Linked DNA regions of Arabidopsis thaliana. The protein of the gene in region 2 interacts with the protein of the main gene of each other region in a pairwise test. Each region holds a gene or a part of one and is shown on either strand. Other genes may lie near its edges. The genes, in order: AT1G62330, AT1G01230, PLC2 and AT4G38690.

Region 1 (6,807 bases), about 23 Mb from region 2:
AGCCACTATCCGAGACGCGACAGGAGTCTTGTGTACCACTACGCTTAGCCACCCAGCGAACCTTAACCATCCGTCAGTAACTATATCTGCACTTAAAGAGTCACTTGTGGTGAGAAGAAGTTTCCAAGACGTCTCCAACAAGACTGAGACATATCTTGGTTCGGTTTTACCTCCCAATGGTACAACTGTACGGTTAACCCCAACTTGGTTTACCGTACCACCACAGAAAACTCAAGACCTAGACATCGAATTCAATGTCACACAAGTCTTAAACAAGTTTACATTTGGTGAAGTTGTTCTTACTGGAAGCTTAAACCATATTATAAGAATACCGTTGTCAGTTAAAACCATTTGAAAACATAAAATTTTATTGTTACTTGTCGATCTCACTTAAAATAAGGTCTTTATTCTTAAAAATTTCCAACGAAAAGGTTATTGACACTCCATCAAATAGGAACGGAGATAAGTTTTTTCATAAAATGAATGTATGGAATAAGGAAGAGTTATTTTTTTTATTTGTTCAGCGGCTCTCACATAAAACGTAAACAACAAACTAGTTATTATATTCTAAATTTTACATTACAAATACAAAATCAAATAAAGTGCAAGCGTGCTCCGTTTCAACCTACCACCCTGCGAAGGTTGAGATACATTCTAATTACACATATGAAGGATGATTACACAGATGAGCCTAATACACATGAAAGTGTTACACATATGAAATCTTTAAAGATCTAAGATGTTTCGACAATATATATTTCGAATTATATACTTAAATAGACCAAAACATTCATGACGACTAATATGGTGGTCTAGGAGGGCGTGGCCCAAGAAGTCCTGGAAACCAAGTAGCTCCGGGAAGTGGAGGTGGTGGATCAGGTCTGGGAGGAGGTGGAGGTGGTGGCTGAGGTCCTGGAGGAGGTGGAGGAGGGCGAGGCTCCGGAGGCGGTGGTCTTGGTGGCGGTGGATGGTGGAAAGGAGGAGGATGACGATGAGGAGGAGGATAAGGCATTTTGTGAATTGTTATTGCAATATCTGTCTTGTGTACTAACTTAGTTTATATATAACATCAAGATGAAGAATCATTGTTACCGACAAGTCTTTGAAGTGTAAAACAGTTACTCATTAAATAAGTGCTTAGTAGAATGGTAGTTATCCACCTAATCCTTCAAGCTAACTTTAATTCTTCTGGAAGGATTTCATACTTATGCATGTATAGAGAGATAAATTTCATACTTACCACCGGTTTACCAAACCCAATCTTAGTATTTCCAGCATCAAAATACCCCCAAAACCAAATACTAATAATACCATATTGGTACCAAACTCAAGCTTGGTACTCACTAGAATGTGTAGCCGCTACAAATGCCATGAAAAATATGAAGACCGTTTAAAAAACCGAACCAACAATGTAAACCAAATAATCAATCTTCATTACACATACATTCTTTACATCTTGGATAACGGTAAACGCTGCGTCCCGTCGGTCTAACCAATACATGTTTGGTTTGCCTAACCGTTTTTCTCACTCTCTGCTCGAACACTTTCCACTCTATAGTATTGTTCTTCAACAATATGTCTGAGAATCTCCGTTTGTTCGGTCTGATCGTCGGCATTTTCCCTGCTCCGTAATATATCCGATAACCCGAGACCAGAGACGACAATTGGCTCCCTGAATCCGTCATCGCAAAGGCGTCTGATGCAGCGCATGCAATGAAATCAAGAACCGCTAGCTACATAACCAGAAAGAAAAATATGCAATTCTTCGGTTTAGTTTAGCGGAGAAAGTTAACCGATAAACCGAAAAGGAAGTTTTGACGGGTTTTCTTGTTTTCATTTCACCTGAGATGAGAAGTTCTTGAAAGGCTCTAGCTCAGTTTGTGAGAGTACATTCTCTTTGGTGACTAGATTCGGGTAGAGACTCGTTAAAGCTGCTAACCGTTTATTCCCACCATATATATTCGCACCAGCGACGAAAACACGTGTCTTCCGACTAAAACCCAGACCCGCAAGCATAAGCACGGCTTCTTCAGGTGATAAAGGACAAAGTCCTTCTGTCCTCAGATCGTCTGGAGATGGCATTCTGCATAAGAGAAAACAAAAGGGCATTCAGTGAGATACCAAAACTGAAATAATAATGTGAAAAAGAGTTAAGAGAGGAAAGGAACAAACTTTTGCGTCTTTGTTAGATTTGCCAACGTCGGGAAATGCTTTTCCCGGTAAGCATCAAGCTCTGCCTTTTCCGCATCACCTCCTCCGAAGTAACAGAGAGAATGAGCCACCATATCAATTTCAAACCTGAGATGGACTGCTAGATACTTAGAAGCCTTATGGAGAGGACCTGCTTTCTTGTCCAATATGAATGACGCAAATTTTGGACCGACGAGATACGGGTCAACTGGTGCAAGGTGTGATCCACTATCTCGTAATCTCCTTACGAGTATCGCACCCGTTTCTTGTATCTTCGGAACGAAGTTTAGCGCATGAAAATTACATCTACACCGCAGCCTCTACTCCCCAAGAAAAAGTTGGATCATTACGGGTAATATATCGATATCCACGGTGCTAAAAGAAGGTTCTTTACCTGTAACTCAAACGGTATCGGGTCAAAGGCCAAACGGTTTCCGAATCCTAAGAAATGGACGACTCTGTTTTTGAGTAGAAGAGGAAGAATGTGCTTCATATAAAACCCGGGCTTGGCTTCTTTCATGACATCTATATCCGTAACCTTAAAAAACGACATAAAAGAGAACTACATTAGAAAAAATACGAAGATGAAATCGGTTTTTCACACTAAAAGCGGTGTAAGGAACTTACGACGCTGCCAATAGCCTCAAGATCTAGAGACTGAAGCTCTTTGGGTAGTTTCTTTACAATCCGGATATCAGGAGAAAGATACTTTATAAAGTGTTCCACCTGATAGATATCTCCAAACTGACTATGAAACATATATATACCATTCAAGAGTGTTAAAATTTGACGTTTTCAAGAAAGCATCAATTATAAGAGAAGGAGACAGAGAACGGAGGGACCTTACAATAGTTACCTTGCATCGGTCCAGACATCGCTGAACATAAATTTAGGAATAACGAGTGTCGCATTTAGCATCCGCGCAACAACAACGATGTTACAAACCTGTTTTAATAATGTCCCCGCGAAATCCAACGGTTAGTCAATATAAAGAGTGGGACATGACAAAGTAATGTGTAACGCAATCAAAACTTACAGCAACTCTCTGTTGGTTGATCCCACCATTTGCAGTTACCATTATATATCCATTTTTACCATCTAAACTCCACACACAAAAAAAAACACAAAAATCAGAAAAACTATACCTATATAGTACGAGAAATAAACTCATTGAGAGTAAGAGTAAGAGACCACTAGGCTTCCAGGAACGTTGATCAGCACAAGGCTTCCAAGCCAAAGCTTGGTCCTTTGGTTCTCTCCACAACTCTTTTGGTTCAAGCTTGTTTTGCCCCTAACGAACACAATGTCTCGGTCAGTAGGCTTTTCGGTTTCGGTTTAAGAATTCGAAATGTCGAAAGCGGAAAGGATAATACCTCAGCCAAAGCATGAGCAGCATAAGCCAACAATCTACCATATGTTCCATTATATGTCTTCTTTGGTTTTCCCATCTTTTTCTTCTCTTTATGCTACCAAATCATAAGTCACTCAACATCAAATGAAACTTCCATAACCATTAATCCAAATGCAAAAATCATGTAATATATAACATTACACTACATAAACTTACCATTTACTACAATAATTTCATACTTCACCTAGCAAAATCTCAAACATGTAAACTTTGTCTCCTAACCACAGCATTTTCACATTCTAACTAACAAATCTCAAACAGAGGATTTTATTTTTCTCTAACCAAATCTGTATTTGAAGTAATTGTATATTAGACAAAAAGTTTAAATTTTTACACAATTTAACCATTTGGGGATTTGAAATTGATTTGACAAGAAACAGACTGTTAAAAAGTTAAAGTTCACAGTAAACTGACTGACCAATCACATTATTAAATTTTTAACTAATTTACCTGTACATTCGCCGACACTTTAACGGATACCCGTTTCACACTCGAGTTCGGATCCGGGTTCAGTTTCGGTTTAAGATTCGTTTTTTTCGAGAATCCTCTCCGTAGCCAAGCTCGACCTTCATGGAGCTGAGAGAGCATAAACCAATTAACGAAAATGAAGAAACCAACAAGTACGATTACAAACGCGGCGGTTTTCGCCGTTCTGATTCGTTTCCTTTTTGCTCTCTTAACCGGATTTTTCAAATTCCGGTTTGGATCTCCGTTGATCCAAGACAAAACCGACCCGATACAATTCGACCCGGTGTTAAGAATCTTGTCTCCAGCTACTTCTGAAAAGCGGGTTGGACCGAGACGTGTCGGTGATTGAACCGGTGAAGCTCCTCCTCCTCCATGGATCAGATCTTGGACTCGAAGAACATCGCGAGTCTCTGGTTTCTCTTCGTCTGGTCTCTCAGAAGACATGGCTAAGCTCACACTCTCTCTCAGTTCTGTTCGATCGTGAGAGATAGATTTGCTGAATTTAACGAAGCTAGCGAAGAAAGAGCGAAGTGAGTGTTTTTTGCTCGAATTTCAGTGAGGATTTTTCTTCTTTGTCTGAACGTAATTATTAAAGTTTTTTTTAAACCTTGAGATTGACGCTGGTATTAATTTAAGGTCCCTGTCCTTTAAAATCATTTTAATCTTTACCTATTATTTTATCTAATACGAAATATAACCCTACGTATGTCCGTTGTGGTTTCAAAGTTATAAGAAATTGATCAAGTAGACTGTTCTTAGTAGTTGTTATCATTTCTTAGAATTAATAACATTTTGGTAAGACAGAATTAATAATTTTGTTGAGTATTTAAGATGAATAATAATTTTTCATTTAGCGATGTGTAAAGTTGGATTAGCTCCTACCAACTACGTAAATAATAAAATTGAAAACTAGTTTATTACTACTATCTACAGCTTGTTGAAGCTATATCTATGAAATTTGAATAATTTTTCATTGTGTTTCATAACATAAACAAGTAGCTAAACTAGCTGTCAAAAACAAAAATAGTTGCAAGCATGTGTTTGGTATATTGGGCTTTTTGTGTGGAGGGTTTCAAATACGCTTTCTGCATATCAGAGTAATATGATTTTAATTGGGGCCTAGACATCTGTTTTTGGTGTTATATTAATTAGACAAGAGTTAGAGAACTTATTAATTTCCTTTTGTCAGGCCTTTTTTTTTTGTTAAAGGAAATATAGCACATGCAGACACTTATTAACTTACTTTTTCAAGATAATTAAGTTAAGAATTTAAAATTGTATTTACAACCATTTTAATATATGTATATAGCAATTGATACAAATGTTTACTTTTTCGACATGGTACTAGTACTACACGTCTACAAGGACTAATATAATGAGAGTATTAAAAAACAATTGCAGTTTTGATGTAATCCCAGATAGTCTTAACGCACGTCCTTAGATAAATTTCTGTGACACTGATGAAAGGTGGTTATTAAAAAAAGAAAATGAAGAAAAATGTAGCTAGATTATTCACATTGATTTGGACGTAAGAAAAGTAATTCGTATTGGGAATAAAATAGACAAAAAGGTGATTTATACTGAAGAATATGATTATTAAAAAAAAACAAAAAAAATTATAGACTTCAACGTGATGGCACGGTATTTGCCTATTTTCATTATTTTCTTACTTGAGTAGTATTAGTAACAATTTAATTAAGCTAATTTCATGATTTTTTACTTTAGTCAACTATGAAGTCATTATCTTATTTTAGCAACAAAGTTATTATTTTAGTTATTTTAATCTAACTTTATCTCCAAAATAAGCATGGGTATATCTAAAACAAATAAGATAGATGTGTAATAATAATAAAAAGTTAGAGCTGGTTTAAGTTTAATTTAGGAATAAACCCAATTGGGACATTTTTTTGAAATGAAACTTTTTCAAGGAATAATAATAGTCTCTTGAGTTAGACGGCCGACCAACAACAACTAGATTCAAAGATTTTAAAAAGATCCAACTTTTTCATCATCTTCTTCTTCTTCTATTTCTCCGTGTATTTTCAGCGTTTTGTATCAACAAAAACGGCACGAAGTTTCTTTTCTTCTCTTCCCCATTTTTGTGCTGTTAACAGAACCAATCTCTCTGTTTTTTCCATACTCTGTTTTTTCTTCCCTCTCTCTGTTTCTGTTTTCAGAGGAAGGAGAAGAGAAAACTAAAGAAACTTGTGCAATACTTTTCCTTGAAGAAAATTTAAAGATTATATTCGAAGAAGCTTTTATACAAACCACACAAATCTCCACTTCACCAATATGATTTCTTGATTCATCTCATATTATTTTCTTCTTCAATCTGATCGCAAGAACATTGTGAAAAAAAAGAGTCAACGAAAGGGCCAAATTTTTTTGAGTAATGAGTTTCTAAAGGTGAGATTAGTATAAGCGTCTTTGACTATTATACAAATCTAAAACTTGATCTTTGTGTCTAAACTCTTATGACAATTTTTAGGGCTCTTATATATTTGCAGGTGAAGAAAGAATTTGTGAGGGTTTATTATAAATTAGTTTGAGGAGATGGCGACATTAGCAGATATTGGACTAGCAGCAGCGATTAATATTCTAAGTGCATTGATATTTCTATTGCTATTTGCAATCTTGAGGATTCAACCATTCAATGATAGGGTTTATTTCCCTAAATGGTACTTAAAAGGTGTTAGAAGCAGCCCTGTGAATTCGGGTGCTTTCGTTAGCAAGATTAT
Region 2 (5,136 bases):
GCGATCTTGCGCGACCGAAGCTTTTGGCTTTTCTTCTCTTTTTTTTTAATTTTCGTTTCTCACACTCTCTGGCCCCATGGAACCAAATTTACAGTTTCTTCCGTAAAAGCTTCCGAGTTAGGGACACAAAACGACACAGTTTCAATAACTTGTTTGGCTTGGTAAGCATCTGAAACAGCTGGATTGACAACACGTGTTGGCTAAAGAGAGAATCGACGGCTATTACGATATGGACCCTACTTTCGATTTAATGGATAAGATGTTTTTATTTATTTTCTTACATTGGACCACAATAAGAAAAAAAAAAAAAAAAATCATTAGTCTTATTCCAACTTTAATTAGTCATTCTTTCGTTTTGTCGGCTTTAATTTTGCAGGATATATCATGTTTTCGGGGTCCAATTAGCATTCTCTTTTTTTTTTTAATCACGTTAATTGATTACTTTTGTTAGCTTTATTCAATTTTGAAGAGGGATTAACTATTTTGTATACGTACACCATGATATAATATCCATCCAGGTGGACTTTAACTATGACACGTGTCATTAACCAGCTGTTAGAGATCTTGTAGGCAGCCACGTGTTCTTTAGATCCCACTGAATCATTACGCTCAATCGAAAACATTCTGGTGTTATGATAACTCATGAGTCACCACGACAGGAATCTTTGGGCCATTGTTAAATTCAATTATTGTTCAAGCCCATATTGCTATTAGGCCCATTATCTGAAGTGAAGTGGGGAGATGAAGGGAAAGCTTTTTCGTGTCTATTATAAAAGGTAAAAGATGAAAGCTTCAAAATTAGAGAGTTTACTTACAAATATCCAACAAAAAACATGACTCGAGAATTAAACCAACTCATATGAACATTTACACATATATATGTTCGCTTATATCCCCTTTTCCTTCTTTCAGGTGTTCTCTTGCCGTAAAGGAAACTTATTTATCACCATTGATACCAAAGATGCGTACCTTGTGCATGTTGGGGAACTTGGCAACAACGAGAACCATCACAGCGAGTGTGTTGAGGAACAGCCATGGATGTCTGTAATCTGTTGTATGCGATGCAATCAAGTACCTGTTTTAAATGTGTCGTTATAAAGTCAGAAAACAAGTACAAAAGCTAAAGAGCTCAATCTTAAAAGTTCATCCAGATAAATGCAGCTCTTGTTTATACACATTATCGCGTATACAGAGTTCTCTAGAACTAGTCCGTTACACATCACCGGATTTAGATATGTGTATTGAGAAATTAGCATATTTATTAACCATATGAGACACAAGGATATATGCAGCTAAAGAAAATAATTTGCTAAGAAAATATAGATTGGAAATAGACAAGAGTGGTGAGATTTTGAGGAACAAGGTGCTGGGACTTACAGAACAACAGGAACTAGGGTAAGAAATTTGCGGTTGCGGGTAAGCTGTTGACCATTGTCCATTTGTTCCCACCAAGTTAAACCATTGTAGATTCCTTGGTCATCTGCAAAAGGAGTTCCTTTCATCCAGTGGAAGCTGTGATACGTTACCTGACAACAAATATCCACAAATTTCTACTCAGACATCACATTTTCCTAAAGAGTAATTAGAAATTAGATTAAATTTGGTTTTGACAATCAAGCAATGCCAATTTACAAGTCACCGCATTATATCAAACAGTTAGACCTTAAGAAATTGCATTGATGCCATAGGTAGTTTTAGTTTCTGATATCAAAAACTGATAATTCATTAACGAGAAGGTGCATCTTAATTCGAAGCCTGATCCAAAACCGATCAATTCAAACTTAGAAGAGAATTGCATCTTACTTAAAAGCCTGATCAACTCAACAGTCAACACTGCTGATAGTATCCAAACAGATCAATTCAAAATCGCTGATACCAAAACTGATCAATTCATTGATAAGAAGGTAACTGTATCCTAATTCGAAGCCTGATCCAAGCTCAACGATATACGATAGCTAAAACTGATCAATCAGAAGGTAATTGCCTCTTCATTCGAACCCTAAACCAACTAAAAAATTGCTAATAACCAAAGAGATCAATTCAAACACTAGAGCCAGATTCACATCCAGATCTCAGGAAATAAAAAAAAAACAAGGAATCAATCCATCATCTAATTTAAAGTCACAACCCTAAGTGAAAAAATCATCTCTAAAGCATAAACACAATCGAAGACTTACAACGAAGTGAGCGAGATTAACAACAGTCCAAGCCATTCCAGGGGAACAACCAGAGACAGAGAGAACAACGAGCCAACCGAAGAAGAGAATAAGCATGTAAGTCGTCCAAACTCCTGGATACATGAACCATTCCGTATTCCTATTCATATCCGGTGGTGGAACCGCTTTCACATACAGATTCGCCATTTCTTCTTCAATCAGATCGGATCGGATCGAATCTCGTCTTCTTTTGATCAAAATCTTATATTAACACCTGAACTAAAAACCCAGATTCACAAAATTCTCTATTTCGGCGAGAACAAGGATTGTTTGTTTCTTTGGTTTAATTTTGTGTGCCCGTGAAAGACGACGACTGCTTTTTTGCATCTACACTGGGCATTAATTAATTATTGGGATATTTTTGACATTACCCAAACCAAAACGTCTGCGTTTTCATTTTGTACAGACAGAAAATAGGCCAACAAATGCAATAAAGGGAACATAAAACCAACATGAGGATTCTAACTGAAATGTTTTCTTATGTATATCGAAATTCGTGAACAAAGGTGATAGGTATCTGTTTGTCACCTAACATAGTCGGTATCAGAATCTTCTTCTTCGTCTTCTTCTTCTTCTTCACCTTGCTCAATGGTCTTTACGTCAAGGTTGAGAGCCAAATCCTCAACTGAGACCTTAATGACGTCGCTTCTAACACCAATATCGGTAGCATAGCGACTCATACAGTACATACCAGCAGTAACTGTTGCCACACCAATGGGACTTGGAATAAGCAATTTGAAAGGAGAAGAGAGGAGTGCAGCCAAAGGAGCACCAACAATTGAAGAAGCTTGACCGCTTCTCCCTACACCGAGCTTATCCATTATAAGCAAACCGGTCTTGCAATAGAGCGCGAAATCCTCACAGTTGTTCTTGAAAATGTCGTAGTTGCCAAATCCGTTTTGGAGAAGGTACATTGCCCTGTGGATGACTGAATCAGTTGTATCAGATTGCGCGGTTGTGCAAGTCCCTCCGCGGACTTTGGTTAGGAAAACCGATGGACTGACTCCATATTCGAAGCAGTAGAGTGAGCCGTTCTTGAGGAAACAGTCTAAGCAAGAAAGGACTACTCCACTGTCCGGTTGTCTGAAACCGCAATCAGGAAATATGGAACAGATATCTTCAGAGGAAGATGATGATATTGATGATGTTGATGAATCCATGGGGTTGTGTTCAGGTCTGAAATGAACAACTTTGGACCCACCGACAAAGATTCCTGCAAAAATCCACAATCAAATCAAAGCCCATGAAGGAATGTCTACAACAGTATCAATTCTTCATCACCAGAGGAAATTGGGATAAAAATATGTCAAATAAACAAAAATCATCTATAAAGTCCATCAGAGATCAGAAGATATGATGGAATAACATCAAAATACAGAGCCAGGGTGAAATTAGGTCATGCAAAGATTGGAATATAGACCATTGTCTTCAAGATCTATCTAGATAAAGTCGTCAACTTTGTGAATTTACAGTTTCAATAAGAAGATTAAACCGACCAGTAGAAACTAAAAGAAAAGACTTGCATTGAGGATAATTTCACTTTTTGATGTTATGATTGAATGAACGAGAAAGAAAGGAGCAAACTTGGGAAGAATGAATCTAAAGTTACCGTGGTGAGAATAAGCGAAGATTGCTCTGTAAGTATAGATGTGATCTCCTGGCTTTAGCTCTTCTCTCTCAATCTTGTTCGTAAGCAAACCCATTTTTCTTCTTCTCTCTCTCTCTGCACAAAGCTTTTTTTTACCTTGCTTGTGGAAAATGCAGGAAACGGCGTTACAAGTGTAAGCTCTAACGGTGGGATCTGACGTCAGCGAGATAGGTAAGGTAAAGTAACGTTTTTTGGAGTGGCATTATCTAATTCGATAAACGAACTAGAGAGAGCTGTTGAGCAAACCCGTTACAGAGTCTTTTAACGGCGTTATCTCCAAATCCAAATGCTACCAACGTACTGATTTTCCGGGGCCTTTTGACCTTGATTCCAGGCAGGGGTAATACGGTCACTTCACAGCTTGGTGGTCGTTGAACTATGAAGTAAACCAACCAGAAGCAAGAAGAGAACGACTTGGTCAAGCAAAGGATTTTGTTTACCACACGACATCGTTTTTAATTGCAAATCTGAAAGATTCTTCTGCTTTTATTTTTTCCAAAGGTCCCAAAAAAATATATCAATTTACAAGAATCAAGATGATGACACACTGACACTGTATGTATCTTTCAAATACAGATGCTCCAGTTGTAAACTTTGACATCAAACTCTGCATGTTCTTCCAATCTCTGTCTTAACTCCTTGGCTTTCTCTGCGTCCTTAGCCAATATAAGTGAGAATCCACCACCACCTGCACCTACCAGCTTGAATCCTGAGCTATAAGGTTGCGAAAACTCAAAAAGCTTATCCACAAACTCATTGCTGCAATACGGATCCAGCTCTTGATGCAGTCTCCAAGCTTCTGACATTATGTCGCCTACCTCGTCAACTTCACAGTTCATCAACGCTTCTCTACCGGATTTCGCCAGCTCCGTCAATCGCTTAATGCTTGAAATTAGGAGATTATCTCTTTGCAAATACCTTGTAACGACCTTGTGTAGGACTTGATGAGCTAGCCTGACCTGTTTATATAAAAAAGGCATAAAATGAATGAGACTCTGTAGCTAACAAAAAATCTTTTCTTCCTCTCAGTGGTTGCTACTTACTTGACCCGTGAAAACAACAAGGAGGCGTTGCTCCAACTCTGAAATTAGCTGTGGCGAGGCGAGTAAAGGAACAACTTGAAGACGCATAGGGATTCCTGGAAAACTTGAAGTGAATTTGATTCCTGGATATAATCCACCAATCTGATCTTGCCAGCCACCTCCTGTACCCATGAGTTGCTCCAGAACCAAGACAAGTCTTGCAATGTTTTCATTGCTTTCATCTCCATTA
Region 3 (6,668 bases), on a different chromosome or scaffold from region 2:
GGTGGATATAGAGCGATCTAAAGACTCAGAATCTGAGCTAAGAGGAAGATTGGAAGCAGCTCTGACATGATCGTATCTACATCTACTTCCGTACAAACATATTCGTTTCTGATAGAATGTGCAAACCTAATTTATACAACCAAGAGTCAAATATTTGGGACTGATGAATCAAAAGAAGGAAACTTGAGAAGAGATTAGATTACATTATTGGGCGGATCCTTAGAGTCATGGGAAAATTCGCAATTTTCGCCTTTCAAGCACGAGCCATGGACAAAGAACTTGCACAGTATCCTACAAAAAAGAAATCAAATGAATCATCGTCCCCAGAAACGAAAGAATCAATCTTTATCACCAATCAAAGAGACACAAAATTGAAGAGTTTGATGAATCGAGAAGTTGGGGGATTACGATACCTATCGGACATTTGGGGATTTGTGCGGAGAGAAGAAAAAAAAGGGTGGAAGAATGGAGAAGGAAGAGAGAGCTTTATGTGAAGAAATTGAATTTGTACGGTTTTCAATTGTTGAGGACCAAGCAGACCCCAACGTTTTTGAGATAGAGCGCGCTTCCTCCACCTCCACCACCACCTCTCTCTTTCATTTACTAAAATATCCTTTCTCTTTTCTTTTTGGCCAATTTTGTTTTATGGGGTGTGATTGGTTATGTTTATGGAAATTCGATCAGTTTTATGTGATACATAAGAAAATTCTTTGAAGCCTTCTTGGTGGAATGGAATCAAACAAGTTTTAAAACACACTTGTTACACAAAAACCACAAATCATCATACGATTCAAGTGTTACACGAGACTACTACATAATAATACAACAACACACGATACAAGACCGTCTCTCTCTCTCTCACTTTCGTCTTTTATGTACATAATATTACAAACAACAAATCAAGCATACATTCTCTCTCACACATACAAATCCTCCAAATTCACAAACTCTGTGGCACTCAAACCTACCAGACAAGTTTAAATGCTGTATCTTTCTTAATCATGTCTCACACAAACTCCACCTTCACGAGAAGCTTAACGGATTTGTACTTCTCTCCTTTCCGGCTATGTAAAGGAAATGCTCTTATTCCTTCGCTTAGCTCCCAAACCGGTAAGCATGTCTGTCCTCCAAAATCATCTTTCTCTGACATGTCATACTCATGCACTTCTAATCGTAGCAGGGCCAGCTCTGGAACGGTTAATGGGAACTCAAACACCTCATCCCAAGCTGGTATCCAATTATCCTCCAGTGTTTTCGTCTTCTTCATTACTGTATCCCCTGGAACTCCAGCTATCCCAACCTGAATATGCATCAAAAGCTCAAATTGTTATATTGCAAGCATAAGAGACAAGAAACAGTTCTATCTCAAAACATTTGTGTGAGGTTTAAGGCAGGGAATCAAAAATTGACCCTTGTATAGAAGTCAGGCGGTGAATATTGGTCAAAGTGTGTGTGGCGGAAATCAAAGTACCAGCCTTCTCCCATGTATACAGTTACCTAAGGGAAAGAATAAGTTCACTGAGTTTGATCGGATTTGAATTGGTAAAAGAAAGACCAACCAGAGAATCAGATATCTCACCCTAAGTGTTGTTTTCACAGGTAGAGTAGCTTTTGGGTCAAATATGTCACTATCCGAACCACTTTTCAGCAGAAGGTCAGGTTTCTTGATGTAGCCACATCCGCCATTGGCTCTAAACATTCCCTGCATTAGCCACAATGATCTTCCATACCCCTGTACATGGAAAAAGATCACAATCAAATCAGCTGAGGAATAAGGTTGATGTCCTGTAAAATGATGGAACATAGCTCCTCCAAAATAACTAGAAGTTTTACTACTACGTAGAAAGAAGTTGGTAATATAGCAGAAGGAGATACCTGCATATTGAAAGCCACCATTTGAGCACCGTGGCTCCAGCCAACCAACGGGTTGTAATTTGATGATGTGACTCTAGTTCCTTTTGGGTATATCCTCAGCAAATTGTGCTGAGTAAACCTGCGCCACACCATGATTAACAGGATTCATATTGAGTTGACAAACTGCAACTATTACTTAGAAACATAAAAACATAATATGACTATACCTCACAATCTGCTTCGCATATTTTTCTGCTGCCTTTTCAAGTTGTTCTTCGCTTAAGCTAAGGCGTCTAACCTTGTCAGGATCTACCTTTAAACACTCAGTAATTCCGCCTTTTGGTTTCCCAGCATGGATTGCAATCAAATGTTTATACTGGGGTGGTGCATTAATCTTAGACTTGTCTTCATCATCATCATCGTCATCATCATCATTTCCATCTAAGTCATCCTGCAACAAGAAAGAAAACTAACATGTTTGTCCATGAACAGCAACAGAACAGAATGAAAATGATTTGTCTTCGTACACACCTTAGCTTCACTTTTGTTCCTCTGAATAAAGCTCGGAACTTCTCTTCCCCAAACTTCTTCATCCCCCAAGTCTTTACCTTTCTGCACCACTTCCACATCTTTTCCTTCCTTGTACTCTTTTGGGGGTTTGGTTGAGATGATAATACGTCTTTTTAAAGAGTTTGGCGATGGGAACTCCTTCAAAGATTCTCCCACAGGAGGAGTAAACAGAATTTCCCCAAATATCTCAGTAACCATCTATCATACAACAAGAAAACACATCTCAAAACCAATGTACTCATCTATTAAAGCAGCAAAGAAAGAAATGCAAAATAAAAAGCTACCTCAGCAACTTTAGACTGAAGATCTGGAGTAAGATGATCTTCAAGAGTTACAACAACAGGATAGTCAGATACATCAAAGGCATGTGCTCTGATAGCTTTGAGACATTTGATCAACCCCACAGGTGTAGTGAGAGTCCTGTTTAAGAATGGTTCAGTAAACAAGTTAAACGCCAAGCACCTAACCTTGACTTGTTTTTCGAAATAAATTTGAAGCAAAATTATACATTCCGTGAAGAACATCAATATCGTCTTTGTTGGAATTGGGCCATATATCCAATTCAATGACTCTAACACCTTTCTTCAACGCATCAATAATAGGTACCTCACTACAGTCACTGCTCAGCTGATTACCAGTCAGATAAGAATTATGACCAGTGAATATGAAATAATGCGATATAGGAGCATCCATGTCATGATGCACCTGAAACACCACAAATTCATTAGAGATAAGTCTATAATCAATCTGAAAATAAAAGCTAGCACAATTGAGTCACAATTACATGTATAGCCGGAATTGTAAAAATATTAATTACTTGTATCATGGATTTTTGTGTCAGAGTTCCTAATAGAGTAAATGTCACATTCCTAGATATGTTACTTTCTCAACTTTTTTTTTTTTTTTGAGACATAAAAAGAAAAACAATTCTATTGCTTCAAATTCTTGAATCAGACTTATTCCACAACACCTAAAAAGTACATAGCTCCTACGACTTTCTACCAAACAGCAGCTTCGAAGTTCGAACTCTTGATTAGACTCAGTGAAACATTCAAACAAATTATTCCAAAAATCTCACTTCCTCACACCATTTCCTCAATTACCAAACAAGGAAAACGAAAAATCCCAATCCAAAATCTGAGTTTCTTATATCAATCAATCATAGTTTACTTCAGATTCTGAACTCATAAAATCGAAATAACACGAAAATTACCTTATGGAGAGCAAGAGGAGGGTTATTATCACCAAAGAGGTACTTGAAGAAAGCATCAAGATGGAGACCATTACGATGAAGAAGAGAAGATGCAGAATTGATAATTGACTGTGCATCTTCTCTGGTGGCTTTATCTTGTTTCTGAACATCGATCAGAAACCTGTGGAGATGATCAACGGTCATAACTCCATTCTCTGAGTACTTTTCGAAAATGGTCTTGATCTCACGCGGTGCCTCCGATGCAGTGTAACGAAACCTCCGGCGAAAGCAGAAACACACTTTGTACGTTTGCTTCGACATGAAGTAAAGAAAAAGACGGATCTTTGGGTAATGATTGGAGACGATGATGAAGGAATGAAGTAGGGTTTGTGTGTTATATAATCAGAACTATCTTCTCATTGTTTTTGAAATCAGACAAGCGAGATCAGAATCGTCGTTTTGCGTGTCGCATCTGCAAAGACAAAGAGATTTTTTTCCTTTCTTTCTAGTGAATCTCCTCCATGTAATGTTTAATCGATCTTGAACCTTGTCGGAAAAAGATCTTCTTTCTCTCTCTGTGCGAATATCCCCTCTGGCAAATTCTTATCCATTTGGGTTTTATTGGGCTTTTGAAATAATAAAGCCCATTAAGTTAGTTACTAGGGTTTTGTTGTTGTTTAAAGGAGGAATAAGAGCGTAAGCTACAAAATCTTTCTATTCATCTCCGCCGCTCCTCATCCTGTAAAGCTAAACAAATAATCAGAGGAACGAAGGAGACAGCTTCTGCGAAATCAGCATGAGAGCCAAGGTTAGTAATGGGTTTTGATTGTTTAATGGATTTTTTAGTGATGAGAAATTGAAGTAGTGTGTAGGATCTTTATGGTTTGTGTGTTTGTGTGTTGCAGTGGAAGAAGAAGCGTATGAGGAGATTGAAGAGGAAGAGACGAAAGATGAGACAGCGATCTAAGTAGATTCGGGAGTTTGTTTTGTCTTTCTTCTTTTTAGAACCAACTCTTATGTGAGTTTTGTTGGTTTTGCAATTTTCAATTTGAATGTTTTGTTGGACCAAATCGAATCTATGTTTTCTATTAGAATTATGTTTATTACATGGAATGATCCTTATGAGTTACTGATTCTCCTTAAAGTTCTTCAATCTGCTTATCATTTTGGTTTAATTGATTATCTATAGTTAGTGTCTGCGCTGGATGAGTTTTATCCTGGTGAAGGTTGAACTTTTGATATTAGAAATACCAAGTGAATTTGTATGTCATCTAAGTATACTAATAAAAACAAAGTATGTTGGGTTGATTGAATCTTTCTATCCAGAACGTTTTCTTAGTAATGTAGCAGAAATGTGTGTTTACGGAGGGATGCAATTTTTAGTTCATGATGTTCAGATGACTATTGGTACTTAGGTTTTTATGTGTACATGTGAAATAAACCTACCCTAAGATTTCATTATTATTTCATGAAAATGAGATTCACGTTGCATCTATGTCTTTCTGATGCTGATGAATGATGATGATTGTTCTGAGGTCAACCAAATTCTCATGAAGGATTTATTTAGTCCTTCTCGATATTAATTGTTTCATATATGAATAACAACAAGGTGAAACTGATCAACGGTTTAATAAATCGAAAGTCGAATGGAATGAAATGCTGAAGGAAAGTACAACTACAAAACTCATATGAGTAAGAGAGTTGAGTATATATACTCAAAAATGGCTTTTGACAAAAAGTTAAAAAAAAATTACTCACCTAAACCCAACAGAATATTACAACGAAAGGAGGTTATTATCCACATTATTCCCAGACAAATTCTGGTCAGACATATAAGCTAGCTAGCAGATGAACACCGCCCTAGCAAATTGGGCCGACTCTATGCGCTACTGATACTTTTCCAAATGCGGATATTAAAGCATAAGCTGGTCTGCTTTAGTAGCCGCCCATCGGTGGCATTCCATATGGTGGCATGGGAGGCATTCCTGGCATACCGCCCATTTGTGGTGGAGGACCATACCCACCACCACCTCCCATTCCTGGCATCGGTGGTGCAGGTAAAGCAAGTGGCAACATTTGGGCATACATGTTCTGTTTAAAAACAAAAGAAAAACATATTACTCCTTTAAGTGTATCTGTCAAGATAAAGAGTCGGATGATATCCAGTGTAGCTGTGTCATAAGTAGTACCTGTTGGGATATGACATCCTTCTCTTCCTGCTCTTTGGCCTTCACCTCTTTTTGTGCCTCAAGCTTGTCCTTTATTAGCTCATCCACTTTGCCAGAGTACTCTCGGATAAACTGCAAAGAAAAAACGACAGGAAGAAGAGAATTCATCATAGCGTTCAAATAATGGTTCCAACCTCATTGAGCAGAGAATCAAAAGAGTTTATTTGAGGGTTAGGATAGATCACCTGGAGGAGATACGGGAAGGCAAAGTCCATCATATTGTTGATCCAGGCAAGTTCTAGAGCCACGTCTGGTCGGATTAAGTCATAACATACAAAGAGACATGTAGCAAAGCATTCCTTTTTGCCCTGTATAACAGCAGAAGACACGGGATACTACGTTCAACGTCTGGACCAATTCTTTTCAACTAACCAAACTGAATGGCTAGCACTAGCATCTCGTAAATGTTTAACCATCATCATACCTGTTCAATGAAATACACCAGTAGTTGTTCTGCAAGTTCATGTTCGCCTGATTGTGAAGCCGTTTCCATACAGTCCTTGTACATGTTGTCTTTCTTTGATAATGCAATTGATTGCTTCCATCTGCCCGCTTTCTTGTAGATATAAGCAGCCACACGTCTCATTTCAACAAGTTCGTGTTTCTCGATCTGTTCGCACCATTCACAGGAAGATTATATCATCTCTAAGGCCATTCTTTTTCCATTTTTAAAGAGAGAAAATATTAAAGGGGTAGTATATTTGAACTTTACCTTCTGAGCGAGGCCAATCTGGTCAAAGCTGTCATGTAAATCAATAGACTCTCGCAACCTATCGTAGTCTTCTTCTTCCACGTATATCTCATTCAGAGCCTCATTAACAGCA
Region 4 (4,905 bases), on a different chromosome or scaffold from region 2:
AAGATACCCAGAAAATTAAAAAAACATAAATTTCGTTGATTTCGAAAATGAATCTGCAACTAAAATATTAAAAGAAAGAAAAGTAAGTTAAAAAAGAAAAGAGGAGTTAGAAAATGGGCCAGCATGTGATAAGGCTTAAATTGATTAATCCATTTCGGGAAAGAGAATGGATCATTGGCCCAGCAAGCAGTTGCATCTGGACGGTTGGGGTGTTTTTCACGAGGGATATCAGCCGTCAGATTCTGATTTTAGATCTGAAAAGCTAGCTCTCTGGGGAATAGAGAAACAAAGATCAATTAATTTATTTTTATTTTTTTACTTTGTATGTTGTATTTTATTTTTTGTTGCAGTCAACAACAACATTAAAGAATGACATGCAACGTCAGCAACTGGTCAATATACTCTTTTCAAAATTTTCTCAATCTTGTGGTCAAAATAAGCATTAACTGTTGTTCCACTTTCCACGTACATTTTATGAGGCAGATTCACAAATTTTACCAAACAGTATGATAATTGTATGAAGTAATTTGAGAAGACTATTGACCGCAAAGAGATTGTCCTTTGTTGGATATCGATTTTTGAGTATCGATTACAAAACTAAATTACCAAGTAATTAATTTATAAGAGAAATAGAAAATGAGTAAAATTTAAAAATTATTGAGAGATAGAAAATAGATCCCTTTAAATTTAGCTTATAATTCGAAAAATGTGCATGTTTTTATCTTAATCACTTACCGTGAGAAAGTATAGGAGTAAAATGATGTTATCGTAAAGTGCCAAACAACAAATCAAACTTGTGCTTAGCAAAAAAAAAAAAAAAAAAAAAACTGGTATCATTTGAGAACATGACTTAAAACGCAGCCGTTTAAATAAAAAAAGTTGGTTTCTCTGCATCCCATGTCTAGAGTCTAGAAGAGTGGTCTCGCTGCCGATCTCAGCAGGGAGAATAATTTGGCTCGGCTCAATCACTCTTGTGGATCAAATGCTCTTCTTCTTCTTCTTTTGTGTTTCAAGTCTTGAGAAGAAATCTAATCTCAAATTATTAGGATTTTGCACCATGTTTCCATCATCTCAGTTTATAGATATAATCAAATAATGAAATTATAGAGATGCATTGTGTCATTAGCTACTGATATGAATTCTAGCATAACTGATTCTATTATCTTTTTGTTCTTGAAGATCACAGTAGTGTGTAATAAAAAGGGGCATTGCTGCAGAAATATAGTCATCTCTCAGGTTAGCAGCTCTCTTTCACTTGTTAAAACTAGATTTTACCATCAACTGTATACTTCTTCCTTCTGTTTTGCCTGTCTATCAACTACAACATCTGCAAAAGTATCAGAAATTAATAGTAATGAAGAGTTTGGATATCTCGCAATTGTATCAGGATTCAAATAAGTTGTAATGAATTGGAATATACACTCGTAAATCACACACACATACAAATACACACTCACATGTTCTCTTATACACAAGCAACCCTAAAACACATCAACCATGTTCTGATTCTTTTCCTTCAAAATAGATACACAAAGTCTGTCTCCACACGCTCATTCCTCAGGCCTTACCTTCAGCTCTCGCAAAGGTGAGCCCAACGCAAGCATCAACAAATTCATTATCTATGAAATCAGTTGAGAATATCTGCAGTTTATCAGCACATCCTCTTTTTACACACTCTATGATGAATACCTTGGCGTAGCAATGTATCCTCTTAGTCACCGGTTTTACACACATTATTGGGTTATCGGGCTGCGGCGTCACTGTGTTCTCCACCCGGTAAAAGAATTTCCTTGAAGTAGCTGGTTGCTGCTGGCTCAAATGCTTGATGTTGCTCTCGAATTTGGTCGATGGAAGATCTGTATCGATCCAATTGTCTTTAAGGTAACCAGCGCTCCAAAGAGGATCACCATGCTTAGGCTGAGGCGATTTCCTCGGTTTCCAAACGCAGATCACTCTCTTGGGAAGCAGCTCAGCGACTGTCTTGGAGAACACGTGATCGTCCTGGTGAATCAGATGCTCTCCAAGCTGTTCCACAAGATACTTATCAAACTCCGGTGGGTCTTCGTGTCCAAACTCTGTTCTGATCTCAAGAATGACAATCTCCGACTCTGTTTCGGATAGAAACCGTTTGAGATCGGCCAAGACAACGTCGACACTATAAGTCTTGAGGATACCGTGGCATACACGGCGATCTTCTTGGACACGAATGTCAAGGACTCGAGTACCCGCCACGAGCTGGTTATAGATGGAGAGAGATTGGCACTTAGCAAAGGGACGAGACACGAATCGGATACCGATTTTGTTGGTGGCAGAGTCGTGCGTCCCAGGCCAGACGATCTTGTTGATGTGAAGCTTTTCAGGTCCAACGCCGGCCATCCAGTTTTTACGATCGGAAGGCATGTAATCACACCCCGGAAACTCGCAGCCGCACGATTTCTCGAGATCGGTGAGGGCTTTCTTCTCCGTGGAGATGGCTTTTCGCCGCTCGAGTTGTTTGGAAAGGTGAGAGCCCATTGCTGAGGATTAACCCTTTCCCTTTGCTCTCTCTTCTCTGATCACTATATTGAATTCTGTTCTCTCTTGTTTATAAAATGTTCCATGCCTTCTTTATCAATAAACCTTTACTCATAAGTCGTTATGATTGTTTTTTATTTACTTATTATTGGTTTGAAGAAGTTACGAATTATACGTTAATCTTTTAATAATTACGCTACTTTCTCAAAACACCGTTGACATATTCGCAAATTAGAAGTAACTTTCAACTTTTAACTTAACAAAAACCATAGAAAAAAAGTAGTAGCGTTTAATATGTAAGATTAACTGTTACAATTTTTATTGTGGGAACATTTTAGTGTTATAAATGTGAACTGATTGATTAGTTGAGATATATTGAAAGAGTGGTTGAGTTGTAATTGATGGGAGAGTGGGTTTACAATGTATGGTAGGTCCATTTTTGTTGTATAGCTGTCTTCACTGTTTGTTATTTGTCAATTTCTAATGCCTGGCTATTTTCCGACGTGAAAGATATCAATACAACGTGATTTTTATTTCTTGGAAGACACATATTCAAATTTTCTATGAAATAAAAGTCGTTCCTAAAATTTAAACAAGGCATCGATAATTAATATTTTGGATAAAATTCGGATAGGATCCGATGGAAAACCAATCATATACACTCACAGGCCCTATCATGTCTTTTGTAAGACTATCTCAAATATCACGATCCACACAACTAAGATATGTAAAAGAGATTACTAGTATAGATTTTGGGAATTGAGAAGAAAGATTGCAACATAATTAATCAATTTTGATCTCTTGATCATGCAAAATTCAGTTTTGATCTGAATAATTGATTTAGTTGGCCTTTTTATTGTTTTAATCGGAACATATGAATCGGTTAATAATGATAAACAGTAGCATCATATCGGAGAACAGCATCACCAGTCTTCATGTCAATCTTATTTGTTTTTACTTTGACAAAACCTCTCGCCATTCTGAATTTCCCACGGCCACCAACAATCGCGATTTCTCGCTCTCCGACCTCTTCCGCCACCGGATTCCTCGAGAAGATACTGATCGAGCTTCCATTAAACTTCCCTGCCGTGAAAGCCAAATCAGCGTACATGACGATCGTGAATTTGCTCAAGTCTTTGCACCCGGAGACATACATCCCTTGACCATTCCCGATCTCTTTCGAGTGTTTCTCCGGCCCGACGGTGAGCGGATCGTCTATCACAAACAGGCTTCCAAAACCTACCGGCGAAGCTGAGCCACCGGTTAGATTTGCATGTGCGATTCTAACGGCGGTAGGATTTTGGCCACTGAGAGTATCATGGAGATAAAATCTGACACGTGTCACTTTCTCCTCATTCAGTTTAGCCGGTTTGGTGTTGCCATAGTAGGATTCGTGACGCGCCATAACGGCCATGCTCAAACAGAGTGTGAAAAATATTATTAATGTGCTCTTCATAATTTATAAACTTAAGGAATTGATATGAAAGTTTACTATCCAAATGAATCTAGAACATATATATATATATATAGTTTGATCACTTGTAATTTTAGGAATGTTTACAGGAAAAAGATTTTCTCCTATAAAAAGAGGGTATATGTCATTATTTAGAAAATCTATTTGATATTTTTCTATATAACAAAAAGAAAATAGTAAATGCATATGATCCAGGTATTAACTTTGAAAATTTTCTGTCTGATATTGATGATATGTTCAAAATTGTAATAGTGTTTGACAACTTTGAAAACATGTAAAGAGATTTAATTATTTTAGAAAATTATGATTCTAAAAAGCTTTGAGATTCTGCCAAATAACTAGCATAAACTTTATTCGAGGTAAGGATATGTACCACGCGCACCTTAGGAGCGTTGAGCGCGTGTTATCAAAATGGGTAAGCTATATAGTCCAGCCAAAATGCCTATTTTTGATCAATTTTAATATATTCCCAGCTCTAAAGCGCGTGGTATTATCATATTCCCCGTCCCACTACATTCTGTGTGTTTGTACAGGTTGGATTTATTCCTCACCACATATATCTTAAGTGGACTGCACCGATCAAGAAGATTATAGAATACGGGCCAGATCTGATACTGGGTCGGGTTAAGTTGGGCCAATTGGGCTCTTAATAACAAACATCACTCTCTCTACGCACCATTGATCACTGATCAACTAAACGCTCCCAAATTCAAAGACAGATTTAAACCAATAATGAAATTGTACAACTCGTAAAAAATAAAAGACACCCCAAAACCCTAAAAATTGCAACAGAGTATGTGGTAAAAAAAAGAGACAGAGAGATATTATAAAAAAAAAGACCCTACCAAAATTTTCTCTAGAGTTCCCCCACACAACTTAACTTATCCAAATTAAACAACACAAATTCTCAGAAGCTA

What was found.
Region 1: the proteins of AT1G01230 (region 2) and AT1G62330 interact in a protein complementation assay, tested with the Arabidopsis thaliana proteins (one large-scale study listed by BioGRID).
Region 3: the proteins of AT1G01230 (region 2) and PLC2 interact in a protein complementation assay, tested with the Arabidopsis thaliana proteins (one large-scale study listed by BioGRID).
Region 4: the proteins of AT1G01230 (region 2) and AT4G38690 interact in a protein complementation assay, tested with the Arabidopsis thaliana proteins (one large-scale study listed by BioGRID).

Annotation. Positions count from the first base shown.
Region 1 is NC_003070.9:23,044,671-23,051,477, reverse strand, and holds AT1G62330 (O-fucosyltransferase family protein), read right to left. Parts: upstream 4,711-6,807; 5' UTR 4,514-4,710; coding exon 4,052-4,513; intron 3,657-4,051; coding exon 3,564-3,656; intron 3,482-3,563; coding exon 3,382-3,481; intron 3,289-3,381; coding exon 3,227-3,288; intron 3,136-3,226; coding exon 3,047-3,135; intron 2,939-3,046; coding exon 2,818-2,938; intron 2,729-2,817; coding exon 2,585-2,728; intron 2,511-2,584; coding exon 2,173-2,510; intron 2,084-2,172; coding exon 1,843-2,083; intron 1,734-1,842; coding exon 1,425-1,733; 3' UTR 1,141-1,424; downstream 1-1,140. Other genes in the region: ALE1 (PA-domain containing subtilase family protein), read left to right, coding at 1-355; AT1G62333 (uncharacterized protein), read right to left, coding at 800-1,012; AT1G62320 (ERD (early-responsive to dehydration stress) family protein), read left to right, coding at 6,623-6,807.
Region 2 is NC_003070.9:94,847-99,982, reverse strand, and holds AT1G01230 (ORMDL family protein), read right to left. Parts: upstream 2,572-5,136; 5' UTR 2,364-2,571; coding exon 2,178-2,363; intron 1,527-2,177; coding exon 1,378-1,526; intron 1,076-1,377; coding exon 937-1,075; 3' UTR 743-936; downstream 1-742. Other genes in the region: AT1G01225 (NC domain-containing protein-like protein), read right to left, coding at 2,741-3,429, 3,826-3,919; FKGP (L-fucokinase/GDP-L-fucose pyrophosphorylase), read right to left, coding at 4,431-4,823, 4,908-5,136.
Region 3 is NC_003074.8:2,581,620-2,588,287, forward strand, and holds PLC2 (phospholipase C 2), read right to left. Parts: upstream 4,280-6,668; 5' UTR 3,938-4,279; coding exon 3,638-3,937; intron 3,130-3,637; coding exon 2,933-3,129; intron 2,845-2,932; coding exon 2,709-2,844; intron 2,623-2,708; coding exon 2,386-2,622; intron 2,306-2,385; coding exon 2,082-2,305; intron 1,994-2,081; coding exon 1,876-1,993; intron 1,733-1,875; coding exon 1,580-1,732; intron 1,498-1,579; coding exon 1,411-1,497; intron 1,301-1,410; coding exon 1,007-1,300; 3' UTR 743-1,006; downstream 1-742. Other genes in the region: AT3G08505 (zinc finger (CCCH-type/C3HC4-type RING finger) family protein), read right to left, coding at 1-126, 204-291, 414-424; AT3G08520 (Ribosomal protein L41 family), read left to right, coding at 4,413-4,424, 4,522-4,587; AT3G08530 (Clathrin, heavy chain), read right to left, coding at 5,552-5,707, 5,806-5,916, 6,030-6,152, 6,269-6,454, 6,557-6,668. UniProt on the Arabidopsis thaliana protein: The production of the second messenger molecules diacylglycerol (DAG) and inositol 1,4,5-trisphosphate (IP3) is mediated by activated phosphatidylinositol-specific phospholipase C enzymes.
Region 4 is NC_003075.7:18,073,186-18,078,090, forward strand, and holds AT4G38690 (PLC-like phosphodiesterases superfamily protein), read right to left. Parts: upstream 2,773-4,905; 5' UTR 2,515-2,772; coding exon 1,558-2,514; 3' UTR 1,135-1,557; downstream 1-1,134. Other genes in the region: AT4G38700 (Disease resistance-responsive (dirigent-like protein) family protein), read right to left, coding at 3,398-3,970.